Linked DNA regions of Anolis sagrei. Each later gene encodes a partner of the first gene's protein in a complex. Links are inferred from orthologs where the notes say so. Each region holds a gene or a part of one and is shown in the gene's direction. Other genes may lie near its edges.

What was found.
Region 2: KANSL1 (region 1) and KANSL3 share a complex: the UniProt entries of both Homo sapiens proteins name them as parts of the NSL complex. The link is inferred for Anolis sagrei from reciprocal best matches to the Homo sapiens genes KANSL1 and KANSL3.

The regions. Positions count from the first base shown.
Region 1 is NC_090026.1:44,094,408-44,104,891, forward strand, and holds the start of KANSL1 (KAT8 regulatory NSL complex subunit 1), read left to right. Parts: upstream 1-6,411; 5' UTR 6,412-6,494; intron 6,495-10,484. UniProt on the Homo sapiens protein: Non-catalytic component of the NSL histone acetyltransferase complex, a multiprotein complex that mediates histone H4 acetylation at 'Lys-5'- and 'Lys-8' (H4K5ac and H4K8ac) at transcription start sites and promotes transcription initiation.
Region 2 is NC_090027.1:22,753,800-22,764,255, forward strand, and holds the start of KANSL3 (KAT8 regulatory NSL complex subunit 3), read left to right. Parts: upstream 1-6,174; 5' UTR 6,175-6,315; intron 6,316-8,453; 5' UTR 8,454-8,519; coding exon 8,520-8,737; intron 8,738-10,456. Other genes in the region: DUSP11 (RNA/RNP complex-1-interacting phosphatase), read right to left, coding at 823-954, 1,225-1,300, 5,979-6,007. UniProt on the Homo sapiens protein: Non-catalytic component of the NSL histone acetyltransferase complex, a multiprotein complex that mediates histone H4 acetylation at 'Lys-5'- and 'Lys-8' (H4K5ac and H4K8ac) at transcription start sites and promotes transcription initiation.

The DNA.
Region 1 (10,484 bases):
AACTTACTTTAATTCTACTCTGCTCCTTGTACCAGTTTTTTAGTCTGTTCTACCTGCCTTGAGTTTATTACTGAAAGAATGATTAATAACAACAATAACAACAACAGGATTTTTTTCAGCATACTTAATCCTGAAAGGGAAGAAAAGTAAAGCATTTTTCAAAATTCTAATAATGATTACACTACATCTTATACAGACGAAACATCTAAATTAGCTGAATGCCACTTGTGTGCTAAAACTGTGGTGTATTCACCAGGTACTGCTATTTCATATTCAGAGTGTAGAGAGTTCTTTTTGGACTACAAGTACAAGAATGTCTCACTCTATATCACCAATCCTAAAAAAAGTAATGATGACAAGTGCTGGCCATAACTTTACGTACAGCAATGTGAAAAACATAAAACTTGTAGAATGGCTTGCCTGGTGCACTAAGAGCTTCATGTCTCATCTTATTTCCCACCTTTGAGTGCCAAGTAGCACATTGTATCTACATTAAACAACAAAATATTTCAATCTCTTTCTGTTAAATTACTAAATAGTTGGCTGATTTTTCCCTCATCAAGAGAATGCTGAACACCCTGTATTAAAAAAAAATATTGAGTACATTTATAGAGAAATTCAAGCTCTTTGAATTTCCTGCTTGACTTGTAAATCACCAAACAATTGTTATTTAAACTACGTCTGGTTTGAAAACAAAAAACATTACAACCTAGCAACAACAACCTATTAATTTTTTAGGTGTACAGGTTGTACATCCCTTATCCGGAAATCTAAAATACTCCAAAGTCCGAAATTGTTCGCATGGGTGGTTGATTTTCTTGTGGTTAAATGTTTGCGCACTTTGTTTCATACTGAAAATTGTTAAAATATTACATATACAATTATCTTTAAACAAAGATGAGGTATATGACACATAAATTAATTTCCTGTTTAGACTTGGGTCCCATCTCTATGAGATCCTATTATATACATAAGTGCAATATCCCATCTCTAAGAGATGGGACATTGCACTTATGTAATGATAGATATCCCAAAACCCGATAAAATATCCCAAACAATTTTGGTTCCAAACATTTTGCTTATTATACATTATTAGAGTGGACAAGTTAAATTGGTGTGATCCTATAGTACCTTACTCAGTATTGAAATCTGAAACTTTTTAAAAATAAAAGTTGCAAATAAACATTTCAAATTGTAAACAAGGGGAAAGAGAACTCTTGCTGGATTAAAGTTAAAATCATATAATTTTTCCCACTCCTTGATATTTGTTTTTCTTTGTTAATTTATGTTATTTTACAGACTTTAACCATTCACTCTTCTATTGTTGGGAGGTCTGCCTTCTTCCAGAACTGTGCATATGATCATGTAAACTTTGTTCTTGCTGCTATGATTATGTAAACTTTGTAAATTAAACATTTTAGTTTAATGCTTTTTTTGATTATTTGATATTCCCAATTACAATAATGTGGGCTCCAATTGTATCTTCGATTGAAAAATTTCTTGCAGTGTTTTTTGTACTTAATCCAGAATTCTCTTGCTTTTTTACAGGTCCACCGCATGTGGAAGAAATTTCCTTCCTGTTTTGTTTTTTAAATATTTATAGCATTTGTTGATCTTCTCTTATACATTTTAGCTAGTTTTGCTGGGGTCAGGTACCACCTGTTCATAACTTTATTTAAAAAATTAGCTAAGGTCATAGCACTGATTTTTTTTTAAGCCAATAGTCCAAATTTTCTAATTTATCTAGTTTTATGTTCTGCTTGATATTTTGTTACCCATTTAATCATACAATTATTTATCAGTTCTGTTTCAATTTCAATTTTTAAACTTTAAAAAAGAAAGAAGGAAATTTTTTAGACTGCTTCATAATTTAACCTGTAAGAATCAGTGTAGGGAATTAATAAAAGAATAATAGAAAAACAATGTAATAGGAAGGAATAACAAAATTATACCTCAATGTTTCCAACCCAAGGATGGGAAGCCACTAAATTGGGAGGGGTGGGAGGAGGGAAGGGTATAACCAAATATGAATACTGTTATAAATGTTAGGAAGTATTGTATTGATTCCTGCATATACACATGTATAGATTTGTTTCACTGTTTTTAAAATTAAGATGTAAACTGAAAATAAAAAATATATTAATCATCAAGTTAAAATTATAATTTTAAAATTTATGTTTTATTAATATTGGTGTTTTGGTATTTGTTCTATGTTTTCCCTATCCTATCCAATTTGTTGTCAATTCACTCCTTTGGGCTTAATGCAAATTTACCATTTCCAAAATATACGATCCTGTCTTTTTCTTTTCCATTTCTGGCTGAATATCTTAACCATTGGTTTGTCCCATCAAATATGAGATCTGCCCAAGAGGCACTGCTTGTAGTCTATTGTGATCCAGTTCATCAGTTGACATATCCATTGGCTATCGTTTGTTAGTACTATATGCCCTGTCAATCTTATTTTTGCTTCATAGATTTAATTGACCACGTCACGTACCCCAGTTCTTTGACACAGCTCTTTATTGCTGACTTTATCTTATCCTTCTTTCCATTGCTCTCTGAGTCACCACCAGTTTTTCCTCCTCTAACCTTGTTGTTGCCCATATTTCAGAAGTGTATATAATTGCCGGTAAAACTGTAGTGTTGAAGATATCTGCTGTGACTTTAATTGACAGCTTATCATCCGGGCGTCCCCTGGGCAACATCCTTGCAGACAGCCAATTCTCTCACACCAGAAGTGATTTGCAATTTCTCAAGTTGCTCCTGACATGACAAAAAAAACCTGTTTTAATGAGATTTTAAGGATTTAATATGTTTGTAATTATGTGTACTGTGTCACATTTGGTTTAAGTTGTCTTATGATTTATTGAGTTGTTTTTTTTATTTGTTTATATATTATTGTTGGCATTGAATGTTTGCCACTCTTATTTTGTTGTAAGCCGCCCTGAGTTTCCTTGGGAAGGTAGGGCAGGATATAAATAAAGTTTAATTGATTGATTCATCCATTTGCACTGTCCAGTTTTAATTAAAAGCCATCCAAGCAGCCTTGTGTCTTCTTTTCCAATTGTCATTTGTTGCATTATTTGACTGTACTTATTATCCAAGATATACATATTCTATGTTTTTAATACACGTATTTTATGGTCATTTGATTTATCTATGTATTTTAATTATGCTGTATCCTGTGTTGTTGTTATCACAAAAACTAGGCTGATAGCCAGAGTAAAGCAGTAACCCACAGTCACTTTGTGCCTGGACTCCCCCTCCCCAACATCCACTTCAAGATGCCTGGGCTTTAACTTGGCATGTCACACCTATTTCCCTTTTCCCTTACTTTGAGCCCAAAAAAGGATGGCAGGGGCAACCTTTGTGGGGTTTTGTTTCTGGGGAGGCCTTTCTCAAAATGAGGGGGAAAGGGGAGTATGGAAGTCTCCTCTTCCTGGCCTGAGGAGAAATTTGTGAAGGGGCAACCCTTTCCTGTTCTGAGGGTGGGTGGGGGGAGAATTATAAGTCTCCCCCTCACGTCCTGAGGAGAAATTTGTGAAGGGATAACCCTTCCTTGTTACCTATGGGGAAAAGGAATTATATGTCTCCTCCTCAGGCCTTGAGGAGAAATTTGTGAGAGTGGCGACCCTTCCTTGTTCTATATGGGTGGGGTGGTGGTGGTAATTAATTATAAGTCCCCTCCTCAGGGCCTGAGGAGAAATTTATGAAGGGGTGACACTTCCTTGTTCCATATGGGGAAAAAAGATAATCATAAGACCCCTCTCCTCAGGGCTTGAGGAGAAATTCGTAAAGGGACGACCCTTCCTTGTTCTATATGAGGGAAAAAGAGAATTAGAAGTCTTCCCCTCAGGGCCTGAGGAGAAATTCGTGAAAGGGCGACACTTTCTTGTAACCGATGGGGGGAAAAGAGAATTATAAGTCCCCTCCTCGGGCCCTGAGGAGAAATTTGTGAAGGTACAACTCTTCCTTGTTCTATATGAGGGGAAAAGAGAATTAGAAGTCTTCCCCTCAAGGACTGAGGAGAAATTCGTGAAAGGGCAACACTTTCTTGTAACCTATGGGGAGGAAAGAGAATTATAAGTCCCCTCCTCAAGGACTGAGGAGAAATTCGTGAAAGGGCAACACTTTCTTGTAACCTATGGGGGAAAAAGAGAATGATAAGTCCTCTCCTCAGGGCCTGAGGGACGACCCTTCCTTGTTCTATATGGGCGGGAGGGGGGGGGGAAAGAAAATTATAAATCTCCCCCTCGTGGCCTGAGGAGAATTTTGGGAGGGGGCAACGCTTCCTGGTCATTGGGGTGTGTGTGTGTGAATTATGGCAGTCTCCTCTTCAGGGACTGAGGAGAAATTTGGGAGGGGGAAACTCTTCCTGGTCCATTGAGCTGTGTGTGTGTGTGTGTGTGTGTGTAGAATTATGGAAGTCTCCTCTGCAGGGCCTGAGGAGAAATGTATGTGGGGGAAATGCTTTCTGGTCCATGGGTGTGTGTGTGTGTTTGTGTGTGAATTATGGAAGTCTCCTTTTCAGGGCCTGAGGAGTAATTTGGGAGGGGCAAACCCTTCCTGGTCCATTGAGGTGTGTGAGAGTGTGTGTTTGTATAGAATTATGGAAGTCTCCTCTTCAGGGCCTGAGGAGAAATTTGTGAGGGGGAAACGCTTCCTGGTCCATTGGTGTGTGTGTGTGTGTGTGTGTAGAATTATAGTAGTCTCTCTTCAGGGCCTGAGGAGAAATGTATGTGGTGGAAATGCTTCCTGGTCCATTGGTGTGTGTGTGTGTTTGTGTGTGAATTATGGAAGTCTCCTTTTCAGGGCCTAAGGAGAAATTTGTGAGGGGGAAACGCTTCCTGGTCCATTGCAGTGTGTGTGTGTAGAATTATGGAAGTCTCCTCTTCAGGGCCTGAGCAGAAATTTGTGAGGGGGGAACGCTTCCTCGTCCATTGGGGTGTGTGAGTGTGTGTGTGTGTGTGAGAGAGAGAGAGAGAGAATTATGGAAGTCTCTTTGGGGCCTGAGGAGAAATATGTGAGGGGGAAACGCTTCCTGGTTAATTGGTGTGTGTGTGTAGAATTATAGAAGTCTCTCTTCAGGGCTTGAGGAGAAATTTGGGAGGGGACAACCCTTCCTGGTCATTGGTGTGTGTGTGAATTGTGGAAGTCTCCTCTTCAGGACCTGAGGAGAAATTTGAGAGGGGGAAATGCTTCCTGGTCCATTGATGTGTGTGTCTGTGTAGAATTATGGAAGTCTCCTCTTAAGGGCCTGAGCAGAAATTTGTGAGGGGGAAACGCTTCCTTGTCCATTGGTGTGTGTGTGTGTGTGAGAGAGAGAGAAAGAGAATTATGGAAGTCTCTTTGGGGCCTGAGGAGAAATATGTGAGGGGGAAACGCTTCCTGGTCCATTGGTGTGTGTGTGTGTGTGTGTGTGTGTGTCTGTGTGTGTGAAGAATTATGGAAGTCTCCTCTTTGGGGCCTGAGGAGAAATATGTGAGGGGGAAACACTTCCTGGTCCATTGGTGTGTGTGTGTGTAGAATTATAGAAGTCTCTCTTCAGGGCCTGAGGAGAAATTTGGGAGGGGGAAATGCTTCCTGGACCATTGGTGTGTGTGTGTGTGTGTGTAGAATTATGGAAATCTCCTCTTCAGGGCCTGAGGAGAAATTTGGGAGGGGACAACCCTTCCTGGTAATTGGTCTGTGTGTGAATTGTGGAAGTCTCCTCTTCAGGGCCTGAGGAGAAATTTGGGAGGGGAAAATGCTTCCTGGTCCATTGGAGAGTGTGACTGTGAGTGTGTGTATAGAATTATGGAAGTCTCCTCTTCAGGGCCTGAAGAGAAATTTGGGAGGGGACACCCCTCCTGGTCATTGGTGTGTGTGTGAATTATGGAAGTCTCCTCTTCAGGGCCTGAGGAGAAATTTGGGAGTGGGAAACGCTTCCTGGTCCGTTGGTGTGTGTGTTTGAATTATGGAAGTCTCTTCCTCTTCAGGGCCTGAGGAGAATTTTGGTCGGTCTGTAAGGGTAAAGCCTCCGCTTTTCCTCTCCAAATGGCACCCCCCTCCCCTCCTTCCCCCAATCCACTCCTTCTCCATCTGACAGAGGAGTTGCTTTAAGGCTGAGCCTATTGGAATGCTTTGCTCTTTGACTGTTGCCTTTTAGGCTACTCCTGGGACTGGCTGAAGCACAGAGTGGGGGGCCTGAGGGGAAACATTGGGGGGGGGGGGGCTTGAATAACCGAGGAAGGTATTCCCCCCCCCCCCCCCCCCAGCCCCTCTCGATTTCCTCTCATGCCCAAGAACCACCAGGCAAAAGAAGCCTTGAGGTATCAGCATCACCCCCTCCCCCTTACTCCCCAGTTCGTCAAGCCCCGCCCTTTCGCCGTTGACGGACACGCCTTCTGCCAACCGCGACGGCTTAGGCCTTGGTGTCAGCCAATGGGGAGCGGAGGAGGGCGGAAGACTTCCCACCCCCTCCACCCCACTTCAAGGCTGGTTGAGCTGTGCAGGTAGGTGTTTGAGGGGGTCTTGGGAGCAGGTTGCCAAGCGGGCGCGACTCTGAGGGCAAGTAGGGAGAGGCTGTGCCTGGAGAGGGTGTCCCCTTCTCTCCCTCTCTCTCGGCAGGTAGGTGGGTCTGGCTGAGCCCGCGGAGGGGGTGCCATGAGGGGGCCAAGGAAGCGGCAAGGATGGCAGAGGGGAAAGGGGGGCTGGGGGCGTGACGTTGCAGAGGCATGCTCCCCTGGTAAGGACGAGGAAGGGGTTTGGGGGAGAAGGCACCCCCTTCCTTCCAACCGTCGCCACTCTCCTCCTCCTCCCCTCAGAGATGCCAAGGGAAGAAGCAAGTCTCGCTTCGAGTCCAGGCCAAGTCGAGGAAGAAGCCCCTTCCTGGACTCCTGGCAACTTTGAGCGGGAGGAGAGGCAATGGGGTGGCCGGGGGGAAGGAATAGGGCCAGGCCAGGAAAGGAGAGGAGTTAGTGGACGGGTTTATTTGTTTTTTTGAGGGGGGGGGGAGCGTGGTCGTGGAACAGCCTGTCCCCCCTCCTTCCCACACAGATCTCTATTAAGGGAAGGTGATGGGTGTAAGGCAAAATAAATAAATAAATGAAATCTATATAAATAAAAATGCAATGTTCGTTTGTGGGATTAACATAACTCATAAACCACTGGGCGAATTGACACCAAATTTGGCCACAAGACACCAATCACGCCAATGAGTGTCCATCACCCCTAAAAACACACAAAAAAACCCAGCCGAACGGACTTTAACCCCCCCCCCCCAATAAACCATACATACATATACACAACTATACACATATACACAATATACATATACACATGCACACATACATACATACAGACATATATATATACAGAAATATACACATACACTCAAGCACACACATATACACAATATATATGTACACATATAAACACAGAAATATACATATACACATGCACACATACAGACAGACATATATATATACACACAAGCACCCACAACTATACACATATACACCTATACACATACATATACACATACATATATATGCATTTACACAAGCACACACATATACACAATATACATATACACATATAAACACAGAAATATACATATACACATGCACACATACATACAGACATATATATACACAAATATACACATACACCCAAGCACACACATATACACAATATACATATACACATATAAACACAGAAATATACATATACACATGCACACATACAGACATATATATACACAAATACACATACACCAAGCACACAAATATATAAACACGTATACACATATAAATACACAAATATATACACAGACCTAAACACACATATACACACACAAAACACATATACACAGACTGGGCCACAGCAACGCGTGGCAGGGGTTGGCTAGTATATATATATATAAAAATAACTTTGGGAAGTTGTCTGCCTTTGGAGGCGGTTTGCAAGAGGGAAGGTAAGCCTCTCCGTCCCTCCTCCTTCTCCTCTTCCTCCTCCTCCTTCGCACTCTCCTGTGTGTGGGTATTTCTGCTCCAAATAGGAAACTCAAGGCAGGGAGAATAAGGGGAAAGGGGTGGCTAAGGCCCCACTGAAGAGAAGACTGGCCCGGTGGGTGAAAAGAAGGCCAACCATCCATTACTAAACCCAATTTGGAAGGAAGGAAGCAGGCCCTGTTTGTCATCTTGCCCAAGGCCCGGCTCTCAAGGGCCCTGCCTCTGATGTGGGTCCTAATATCACCAGAAAATTAAGGTTTTGCAATAGTGGGAGCGCCTTTCTGAGGGCACCCATTCCAGATTTCAGCCTCATCTTGACTGAGCGTGTAATGCTGTTTCAAAGCGGATCATTCAGTAGGAAATCCTGGAACCAGTTTCAGGCCTGGAGGGTGTGCAGAGCATTGGTGCACATTAATGCTTTATTTCTGCAGCTTTTGTGGGAATTTTGTTGCCTGGCTGCTGCGGTTTGAAGCTAGCTTTAAACTGCATTAAATGGTCAGTTTAGATGAGGCCTTCATTTGAGCCAGGGCTCTCAAACCTAAAATCTCTCACACACAGATATCACTACTTCCTCTTTCTCAATCAGTCCTACAAAATGGGGAGATATTTTATTATAAACAATTTGTAGTGACTGAGTTAAACCGATGTGGCCCTATAGTGACAAGTCAGAAACAAGTCTCTCACTGAGGCCCCATCTACACTGCCATATAAAATCAGATGATCTGCTTTGAACTGGATTACATGGCAGTATAGACTAATCCAGTTCAAAGCAGATAATCTGAATTTTATATGGCAGTGTAAATGCGGCCTGAGTTCAGGTAAGTGGGTCTATAGGACACTAGTTTAAAATTTCTGAACACCTGAGCAACTGAAGGTTGCTTATATAAATATGAGGATTATGTTTGGGTCTTTGGGTATCTTGTTTCTAGATAGTTCGGGGCTTAAGTTTCTTTCCCTTAGAATTGTAGCTTGGACATCCCATTATTAATTTTTTTAAGCTTTAGGACAGAGATTGGGTAAAGTGCAGTATTGGGGCTGCACATGACTCTGTTTTTCCTGCCTGCCAGTCCTCCACACTGTTTAAAAATACATTTTTTGTCAAGTAGAAGTAAAGTTCTGGTTTTGGGAGAAGAGTATATTTGGGTGGCCTGTGCAATCCCCAGAAAGTCCGAAGGACAGCACATGGGTCCCCTGGACCTATTACAAATCATAGGGAGGAATGTTCATAGAATATCATGGAGGTAGAAATAAGGAATCTGCCATTTTTATTGTTCTAGAGTTGTAATTTTTACGGAAGAATATTGCAAAACTAAGATACCTTTTTAAAATCTTCAAAACAATTAAATTTTATCAGCCTGTGGATGTTGTGTACTTCCTAAAATCCACTAATGATATATACATAGAGACACTAGCATTTAGGAAAAGCTTAAATATGTATTGAATAAAAAATAGAATCATAGACTCATTCAGTTGGAAGAGACCCTGTGGGCCATCTAGTCCATCCCCCTGCCAAGAAGCAAGAAAATCATATTCTTGTGCTAATTCAATTAGTTGTGCTAATTCAATATGATAAATATTAGCCAGTTCCAAAAATCAAAATTTCTACCACTGTAAGATAAAATGGGGCTGTTCAGATAATAGCACAATTTTATGCAAGTCTATTCAAATGTACGGTTCATTATGTTCTATGGGACCTACTTCAATGTATGTGTGTTGCAGCTGCAGTTTAAAGTAATTTAATAAGCGAGGACACCTCCTTTTCCAAACTCTTTATTGGGTCAGGGGAAATAGAGCAGTGACCTCCCATATTTTTTCCCATGGATCTGTTTCTGACAGAAACTTTGTAACAGCAAGAGAAAAATCAAAATTCTGTGCATTTTCAGGGTGATTGGTTCTTTTTGATTTTTCCATTGACTGAAAAGATTTTAGATTTTATTTTTTGATTGTTGAGGAAACAATATGACCAAGATAGGTCTATCATAGGATGTGTGTGTGTACACATGCACACTTAGATCACACAAGCAGAGAGAAACTAATTGAAAATGAAGTTAAATTTGTAAAACTGGTGGTTTGTTTGATCAGTCAATATTTGATTTTGTTTTTTGGACTCCTCTGAAATTGTATATTTGGAGGTGTTAAAAAAAACTATATCAAGAGTTTTTACATCTAAACCTTGCATTTTCTTCTTGGTATAGTTTGTTTCTAATGTACATGTCTGTGATTAAGTCACCATTAGGTTTTGCATTAGGGAATACTAATAAAATACACTGGTACTTGTCTTTTATAACTTGGTATTCCAGTTTTTATTCTCATAAAAGAACCAAAGTCTACGTAGCTACAAACCATGGTGCAGGGAATACAAAATAATGTAAACCGTAGGTGTATTTATAATCTATTTTTAGTCCAATCAATAGTACATAAATAGTTTTAATGACATATAAATAATCCTGTCAAATAACTATCTGTGAAAAGAACAGTTGTCTTTTTAAA
Region 2 (10,456 bases), on another chromosome or scaffold:
GCAGAGAAAAGATTTGAAGTTACTTGCAGCAGTGGAAGCAATTGCAAAGGGGCTCTCTGAAACACATCTATTCCAGTGTTTCTCAAACTGGGGGTCAGGACCCCTGGAAGGATTGCGAGGGGGTGTCAAAGGGGTCACCAAAGATCATCAGAAAACACAGTATTTTCTGTTGGTCATGGATGTTCTGAGTGGGAGGTTTGGCCCAATTCAATCATTGGTGGGATTCAAAGGGATCTTTGATTGTGGATGAACTATAAATCCCAGCAACTATAACTCCCAAATGTCAAGTCTATTTTCCCCAAACTCCATCAGTGTTCACATTTGGTCATACTGAGTATTCCTGCCAAGCTTGGTCTAGATCCATCATTGTTTGAGTCCACAGTGCTCTCTGGATGTAGGAGAACTACAAATCCAAAACTCAAGGTCAATGCCCACCAAACCCTTCCAGTATTTTCTGTTGGTCATGGGAGAACTGTGTGCCAAGTTTGGTTCAATTCCATCATTGGTGGGGTTCAGAATTTTCTCTGATTGTTGGTGAACTATAAATCCCAGCAACTACAACTCCCAAATGACAAAATCAATCTCCTCGACCCCACCAGTATTCAAAATGAGGCGTATTGGGTATTTGTACCAAATTTGGTCCAGTGAATGAAAATACATTCTGTATATCAGATATTTACATTACAATTCCTAACAGTAGCAAAATGACAGTGATGAAGTAGCATCAAAAATAATGTTATGTTGGGGGTCACTGTATTAAGGAAAGTTGAGAACCCTTCGTCTATCCTAAAGCTGAAGGTACAGCTCATAAATAGAACTGACCTTTGGCTGGTAATAGCGGGTGGTGTACGTCAAATCAATGATCAAACCCAGATCTTCCTTCTGCTCCCTGATTTGATTGATGAGGTCTTCTGGAGTAAAGCGCTCTTGTGGGGCGAGCTTAAATCCAAACCTCTGGAAAAAAAAGTCAGACAATTCAGCCATATCTTCTGAGCCGCCATCAATCTCTGGGACGTCTTTTGACCCATCAGAAGCAGAGTCCATATTTGCATAGTCAGGTATTCCTTGACTTTATCCCATGCTTTGTTCGCAGAGAGGTTATTATTGTATACCTTCAAGGCAACTATACAAGTTACATTGTCAGCCCATAGTTTTACCCACTCATCACTATTTCATTACAAGAACCAGAATGGAAATTAAACTTCTACCTACGTTGCAACTTACCTCGTGAAGAGGAACTTTAAAGGCAATGAAGCGCGTCTTGGGTAGTCTTCTTCCAAGAGGTAAATAATTCGTCCATCTAGAAAAAGAAACATTGCAATTTTCTACTACTGTACAAAAACAGATAGGAAAGGACAGGAGCAATCAGATGGACCAAGAGAAAGACTGCAAGAAGCAGACAGGCTCATTTGGAGGAAAGTATTTTCATTCAACTACAAATCCCATCAGACATATTCAGCATTGTTATTTTTTTATTATTATTTACAGCATTTATATACCGCTTTTCTCACCCTGAGAGGGACTCAAAGCCGTTTACACATAGATAATGGCAAAAATTCAATGCCTTACAACTACAACAGTAAAACCACACTTTAAACATAAATCATATTAAAAACAGTACATCATCAAATATCAAAACAGTTATTAAAACCATAAAACAATCCCATCAGTCGAGTCACCGTTCCAGTCCTTGTCCCACTAAAAGCTGCATACATGTATTGTCCGAAAGCCTGGTCCCAGAACCATGATTTTAATTTTTTTCTAAAGGTCAGGAGAGAGGGAGCAGATTTTACCTCCTTTGGGAGTGTGTTCCATAGGCGGGGGGCTACAGCCGAGAAGGCCATGCTCCTCGTGCCTGCCAGCCGCATTTGCGCTGTTGACGGGAACAAGAGCAGGGTCTCCCCGGATGATCTTAAATTGCAAGATGGGACGTAGGGGCAGATGCATTCGGGCCGTATAGAGCTTTATAGGTCAAAACCAGCACTTTGAATTGGGCTCGGAGATGGACTGGCAGCCAGTGGAGCTGGCATAACCGGGGGGGGGGGGGGGATGCTCCCTGTATGTGGCCCAGTTAGTAATCTGACTGCTGCCCGTTGAACTAACTGAAGTTTCAGAACCGTCTTCAAAGGCAGCCCCACGTAGAGCGTGTTGCAGTAATCTATTAGGGATGTTACCAGAATTTACCAGTAGTTGCTGCATTTCCCACTTCGGCTTATACTTATGTGGAGATTGGGTCCACGTTGACTTTAAATGTTTTTAGGATTAACATTTATTGCTGCTCTGCATTCCTTTCTATGCCTTTATTTTTTGCACATTCTTGAAAGTGCAGGAATGAGCACCTGAGCACAGAATCGAACTCTGATGTCTGGAGCAGTATAGATTACTTGGCCAAACTTCAGAAATGTTACATTAGTTAAAGCTTGCTCTGGCACTTGCAATTTGGTATATTAATTGTACATGCATTATCTAGCTGCTGTCTTCCTATGTGTACTATTGGGTTCATTTATGGGGCACAGCTTAATTAACTCACCACACTGAAGTCATTTCAGATTATTGGGTACAAAAGCAATCTAATGTATGATGAAGAGTCTGAAAGACACAAGCAGGTACCCACACTGTCTTCCTTTTATAGGGATTTGAAGTCTTGGATGTTTAAACTAGCCTTTGAGAATGTGTAAGATAAAAGTAGGCTCTGAATTGGGGAATCTTTGCAGAAGTCAAAGTGTCGGTTACATTTGTGTATTGTGTGGATTTTGTCGCTGCCTGTTTTTGTGTTGGGCTTTGGGTCCGAGTTCTGCAGCCTGGAGTTCCTGTGTGTGTTCGACTTGGACTGACTTCTCGTGAGTGTGGTTTTCTCCCTTCCTGGATCTCAGATTGGTTTGACGATGACACTGCTTGACGGACTTGGAAACGACACTTCTTTGGATTTCACCTATGACGACTCTTGGACTTTGTCTGGCTTTGGTTACTCTTTCGGCGGTTTATCTTTGCTGTTAACTGTTTGAGTGCGGTGTTGTTTGTTTGCCACTAAGTACTGCATTTAATCCAGTTCTTTTCTCTGGTTAATCCGAATTATGTTTCTGTTTGCTTTTTAAACCAAGGTTGGCTAATTTTTTGAGTTTTAGCCAGAGGCACTGAAGTTAAGCGTCTCTGAGCTTCTGTGTTTTTGTTGCATTAAACTGTACTTTGGAACTAATACTTTGTGTGGCCCCTTTAAGGCGTCTGTGTCTCGACAGTTTGAGTCCACAGTGATCTCTGGATGTAGGTGGACTACAACTCCAAAACCAAAGGACACTGCCCACCAAACCCTTCTAGTGTTTTCTGTTGGTCATTATTATTATTATTATTATTAACTTTATTTATACCCCGCAAAATCTCCCGAAGGACTCGATGCGGCTTACAAAGGCCAAGGCCGCAACAACAACATACAAATATAACATAAAACTCATAAGCAAATAATAAAACATCAAGCTAAGACAATAAAACACTAAAAACAACGACACATGATGCATTTAAAATCTAAAAGGCCGGGCCAAATGTAATGGACAAAATTTAAAAGTGCTGAACTTGACAGGAGGTATGTAGAGGTTTGTTGGAGGTAGGTTCAATGTGCAGACAATCCTAGTCTCTAACAAAGTGCATTTGGGACATGATGCCAGGAGTTTCCTAATCTGGAAAGGCACACTGGAACAGCCAGGTCTTCAGGCTCTTCCTAAAAATTGCCAATGTTGGGGCTTGTCTGATGTCCTTGGGGAGAGTGTTCCAGAGTCGGGGGGCTACCACAGAGAAGGCCCTGTCCCTCGTCCTCACCAAACTCGCTTGCAACGCAGGTGGGATCATGAGCAGGGCCTCTCCAGATGATCGAAGGGAATGTGTGGGTTCATATATGGAGATCTGTGTGCCAAGTTTGGTTCAATTCCATCGTTGGTGGGGTTCAGAATGTTCTTTGATTGTAGGTGAACTATAAATCCCAGCAACTACAACTCCCAAATGATAAATGGTGGTCCCTCGGCTGTGGAACACCCTTCCCACGGACATTAGACTAGCACCATCTCTAATGATATTCCGCAAGAAATTGAAGACCTGACTGTTCAAGCAGGTGTTCGAATAATTAGTGCAGTGATTGGTAATGAATATAGGAATGGAACAACGGAAGACAAATTTGGATTATGTTTTGGATGATGACACGACGCTGAATGGTTATCATAGTAATGGTGTTAACTGTGTATAGTGTTAGGTTGTGAATTGTTTTTATTCTGTAGTTTTGAATCTTGCTGTTCTTGTTTGTTGTACACCGCTGTGAGTCGACCCCGGGCTGAGAACAGCGGTCTATAAGTAAAGTAAATAAATAATAAAATGATAAATCAATTTTTTTGAGTGAAGGACATACATTGGGTTGTTAGATGTCTTGTGTCCAAATTTGGTGTCAATTCGTCCAGTGGCTTTTGAGTTCTGTTTATCCCACAAACGAAGATTACATTTTTATTTATATAGATATTATATTGAATTGCTTTGTATTGTTGTTATTGCTTTTCTGTTGTGATGTGTTGTTGGGTTTGGCCTCATGTAAGTCGCTCCGAGTCTCTTGGGGGGATGGTGGCGGGGTATAAATAAAGTTTTATTACATTATTATTATTATTATTATTATTAGGTTCTTGAAGGTTTTTCAGGCTATAGGGCCATGTTCTAGAGGCATTTCTCCTGACGTTTCGCCTGCATCTATGGCAAGCATCCTCAGAGGTAGTGAGGTCTGTTGGAATTAGGACAATGGGTTTATATATCTGTGGAATGGCTGGGGTGGGGCAAAGAGCTCTTCCCTGCTGGAGCTAGGTGTGACTGTTTCAACTGATCACCTTCATTAGCATTTGAAGGCCTGCCTGAGCCTGGGAAAATCTCTTGCTGGGAGGTGTTAATCTGTGCCTGGTTTTTTCCTCTCTGTTGTTTTGCTGTTGTAATTTTAGAATTTTTTAATACTGGTAGCCAGATTTTGTCCATTTTCATGGTCTCTTCCTTTCTGTTGAAATTGCCCACATGCTTGTGGATTTCAATGGCTTCTCTGTGTAGTCTGACATGGTGGTTGTTGGTGTGGCCCAGCATTTCTGTGTTCTCAAATAATATGCTGTGTCCAGGCTGGTTCATCAGGTGCTCTGCTGGTTGAAGTAGTCTGCAGTGCCTTTCAAGTTCCTTGATTCGTGTTTGGGCAATGCTGCGTTTGGTGGTCCCTATGTAAACTTGTCCACAGCTGCATGGTATACGGTAGACTCCTGCAGAGGTGAGAGGATCCCTCTTGTCCTTTGCTGAACGTAGCATTTGTTGGATTTTCTTGGTGGGTTTGTAGATTGTTTGTATGTTGTGTTTCCTCATCAGCTTCCCTATGCAATCAGTGGTTCCCTTGATGTATGGCAGGAACACTTTTCCTCTGGGTGGATCTTCATCTTTACTCTTGTGGCTTGTTCTTGGTCTTGCAGCTCTTCTGATGTCTGAGGTGGAGTCTCCATTGGCCTGGAGAGCCCAGATATATAAACCCATTGTCCTAATTCCAACAGACCTCACTACCTCTGAGGATGCTTGCCATAGATGCAGGCGAAACGTCAGGAGAAATGCCTCTAGAACATGGCTCTATAGCCCGAAAAAAACCACAAGAACCTAGTGATTCCAGCCATGAAAGCCTTCGACAATACATTAATTTAAATACTTTCACATTACCACAATCAGTGGATTTTGGTCTCCACAGTTTTAGAGGAACCCATTTTTCTTTTCAGTTTTACCTTCGATGCCAGGCATGAGCCAACTTGGGCCCTCCAGGTGTTTTGGACTTCAACTCCCACAATTCCTAACAGCCTAACGGCTGTTAGGAATTGTGGGAGTTGAAGTCCAAAACACCTGGAGGGCCCAAGTTGGCCCATGCCTGGCCTAGGCTCTCCCTTCTTTCAGGTTGGGCCAGGAAGGCTCTGTGTAATCCGGTCTCACGTTCTTACCTATCCGGTAGCTTGTTCTTCTTTCCCATTTCCTTTCCTCAGGCCTCTGCTTCCAACGAGGCGCTTCCCTCGAGTCCCTTCCTACCAAAGTCGGTTAAACATCCGCTTCCGTTTTTTTGCGCCGACGTGCTGGGGTGACGTCACCGCGTCGGGACAGGGGAGGCTCGGCGTCCAATCAGCGTCGAAGGGGGAAAAAAAAGAAGCGCGCATGCGCAGAAGAGGCTGAGGCCTGCCTGGCTGGCGGCCGGGGCTAAAGTGAGAGTCTCGCCTGCTTGTTTTCCTCTTCCCTCAACGTCTCTCCGTTCAAGCCCCGTCGGGATCGAGGCCGCTCTTAAAGGTGAGTAAAGGCCTTTGGGCAACTCTGCACATACTCAACAGCGGCCCTGTTCCAATATCATGCTCTCCTGACGTTTCGCCTGCATCTGTGGCAAATGGCACCTTCAGAGGGTCTTCAACAGAAAGGAGGAAACCATGAAATTGAACAAAATCTGGCTACCAGTATTTAAAAAACTCTAAAATTGCAACAGCAAAACAACAAAGAGGAAACAATCAGGGACATCTAATCACCCCTCAACAAAAGATTGTCCCAGGCACTGCCAGTCCATCAAATCCTAATCAAGGTGGTCAGTTGAAACATTCACACCTACCTCCAACAGACAAGAGTTCTTTGTCCCACCCTGGACATTCCACATATATATAAAAACCCAATTTTCTTTGCTCCAACAGACCTCACAACCTCTGAGGATGCTTGCCATAGATGCAGGCAAAACGTCAGGAGAGAATAGCATTTCACTATTGGCTGCTACTTCCCGGCGGATGCCAGGTGGTGCAATACCGGCTAAGCAGTGTAATTTCTCCAGTGGTGTAGGGCGCAGGCACCCCGTGATAATGCGGCATGTCTCATTAAGAGCCACATCCACTGTTTTAGTGTGGTGAGATGTGTTCCACACTGGGCATGCATACTCAGCAGCAGAGTAGCACAGCGCAAGGGCAGATGTCTTCACTGTATCTGGTTGTGATCCCCAGGTTGTGCCAGTCAGCTTTCATATGATATTGTTTCTGGCACCCACTTTTTGCTTGATGTTCAGGCAGTGCTTCTTGTAGGTAAGAGCACGATCCAGAGTGACTCCCAGGTATTTGGGTGCGCTGCAATGCTCCAGTGGGATTCCTTCCCAGGTAATCCTCAGAGCTCGGGATGCTTCTCTGTTCTTGAGATGAAAGGCACATGTCTGTGTTTTAGATGGATTAGGGATCAGCTGGTTTTTCCTGTAATAGGCAGTAAGAGCACCTAGAGCTTCGGAGAGCTTCTGTTCAACCATCTCAAAGCTCCTGCTTGAGCAGTAATGGCACGATCATCTGCATAGATGAAACTCTCTGTCCCGTCTGGCAGTGGCTGGTCATTTGTGTAGATGTTGAACGTGGATGGAGCAAGCACGCTCCCCTGAGACAGGCCATTCTTCTGTTTCCGCATACATTGCGATGTTTTGGTACTATATTTGTAAATACAGTAATTAATACATAACGTTACTGTGTTGAACTGCTTTTTTTGTTGATTTGTCGTCAAACATTATGTTTTGGTGCTTAATTTGTAAAATCATAAGGTAATTTGACATTTAATAGGCTTTTCATTAATCTGCCCTTATTATCCAACATTTTTGCTTATCCAACATTCTGCTAGCCCATTTGTGTTGGATAAGCAAGACTCTACTGTACTAAAAAAAACCCTCTAAAATCAGAACAGTAAATAAAGAGCAACACTCAGAAAATATGGAATAATCAGGGCCAGTTTACCCCTCCCAACAAAGGATTTCCCCAGGCAGGAATCAGCCAGGTGAGTAATTGCAGCATTCACACTGGCCTCCAACAGACAAGAGTTCTTTCTCCCACCATGGGCCTTCCACATATATTGCTTAGTTTCCAATATACCTCACAACCTCTGAGGATGCCTGCCATTGATGTGGGCGGAACTTCAGGAGAAAATGCTTCCGGAAGCTGGTCATACAGCCTGAAAAACTCACAGCAACCCAAGGATACTGCTGTCCACTTCTCAAACATTTGGATTGAGTCACCTTATGGACCCAGGTAGTCCCATAGTATAGGATTTACTATATACATAGTAAATATACATAGTTATATATATATAAAACGGCGCTCCATGCAGTCATGCCAGCCACATGGCCTTTGAGGTGTCTACGGACAATGCTGGCTCTTTGGCTTAGAAATGGAGATGAGCACCACACCCCAGAGTTGGACATGACTGGACATAATGTCAGGGGAAAACCTTTACCTTTTATATGCATAGGAATGCACAATATGAACTCCTGGAAATCTTGGGAGGTGCTTCTGCAGGCCCAAACTCATAGCAGATCCTAAATTTACAGACCCAGGCTCCAATCTGTATCAGCAGCCCCTCAGAAATAAACAGATGTGTGAAGAAGCCAATTTCTTGGTGCTTCTCTCTTCCTTTCCTGCCAGGGACCAGGATGAGGGGCAAGAGGAGTCCTTTGCCCCAACGGCGTTAGCAGCCAAAGACGTGGAGACATGTCATACCGAGGCAACGAACGCGATTTCCAGACCTCTGCACGGAGAATGGGGACCTCCCTGCTTTTCCAGCTGTCGGTCCACGAGAGAGAGCTGGACCTGGTCTTCCTGGATCACAGCTATGCCAAGCCCTGGAGTGCCCACCCAGATGCCAGCAATGCCCGCCCTACCCGCCTGCTCTTTGTGACACCTAAGAGGCACCAAGACAGCGGCACCATGTAAGTGTCACTCGTCTGTCTCGCTGTCTGTGCATGTTGACTTAGGAAGATCTCTTGACTTAGAAACCTACAGGATCCCCAATCCCAATCTTACAAATTCTGGGAAACTGTTGCTGCTTAGATTGAATCAGTCCATCTGTATTGTATTTTCTCTTTTTTTTTCTTGCTTCCACTTTTCCAAGTGTTATTGTCTTTCCTAAGAAGTAGCATTGTCTCATTCTATGACCAAAATACCGAGAATCCAGGCTTGGTTTGTTCTCGGACCCATATGTTTGTCTTTTTTAGTGGTCTGTGGTCTCTTCTAGCTCTACATTTCAAATTATTTGATTCCCCCCCCCCCTTTACTGTCCAATTTTAAATTCCACAGAGAAATCACAAATATGATTGATCCTCACTTCCTTATTCCGTTCTATATCTGCTTAGTTTAGTCTAAAGCCCCCTGGGGAGTCACAAGGGGGTGTCAGAGGAATCGCCAAACACCATCAGAAAACACAGTATTTTCTGTTGGTCATGGAGGTTCTGTATGGGAAGTTTGGCCCAATTCTATCCTTGGAGGAGTTCAGAATGCTCTTTGATTGTAGGTGAACTATAGATCCCAGCAACTACAACTCCCAAATGCCAAGGTCTATTCCCCCCCCCTTTTTTTGGTCGTGTCAGGAGCAACTTGAGAATCTGCAAGTCACTTCTGGTGTGAGAGAATTGGCCGTCTGCAAGGACATTGCCCAGGGGATGCCCGGATGATTTGATGGGTTTTTTTTTTATCATCCTTGTGGTAGGATTCTCTCATGTCCCCGCAATTGGGAGCTAGAGCTGATAGAGGGAGCTCATCTGCCTCTCCCTGGATTCGAACCTGCGACCTGTCGGTCTTCAGTCCTGCCGGCACAGGGGTTTAACTCACTGCGCCACCGGGGGCTCCATTATTTTCTCCAGTATTCAAATTTGGACATATCGGCTATTTGTGCCAAGTTTGGTCCAGATCCATCATTGTTTGTGCCTACAGTGCTCTCTGGATGTAGGTGAACTACAACTCCAAAACTCAAGGTCAATGCTCACCAAACCCTTCCAGTTTTTTTGTTGGCCATAGGAGTTCTGTGTGCCAAGTTTGGTTCAATTCCATTGTTGGTGGAATTCAGATTGTTCTTTGATCACAGATTAACTATAAATGCCAGCAACTACAACTCCCAAATGACAAAATCCATCCCTCTCCAACCCCACTAGTATTCAAATTTGGGAGGATTTAATATTTGTGCCAAACTTGGTCCAGTGAATGAAAATACATCCTGCATATCAGATATTTACACTAGCCGTCCCCTGCCACGCATTGCTGTGGCCCACATGGGGGTTCTGTGTGGGAAGTTTGGCCCATTTCTATCATTGGTGGGATTCAGAATTCTCTGTGATTGTAGGTGAACTATAAATCCCAGCAACTACAACTCCCAAATGTCAAAATTCTATTTCCCCCAAACTCCACCATTGTTCACATTTGGGCATATTGAATATTCGTGTAGGGTTTGGTCCAGATCCATCATTGTTTGAGTCCACAGTGCTCTCTGGATGTAGGTGAACTACAACTCCAAAACCAAAGGACACTGCCCGCCTTCCAGTATTTTCTGTTGGTCATGGGAGAACTGTGTGCCAAGTTTGATTCAATTCCATCGTTGATGGGGTTCAGAATGCTCTTTGATTGTAGGTGAACTATAAATCCCAGCAACTACAACT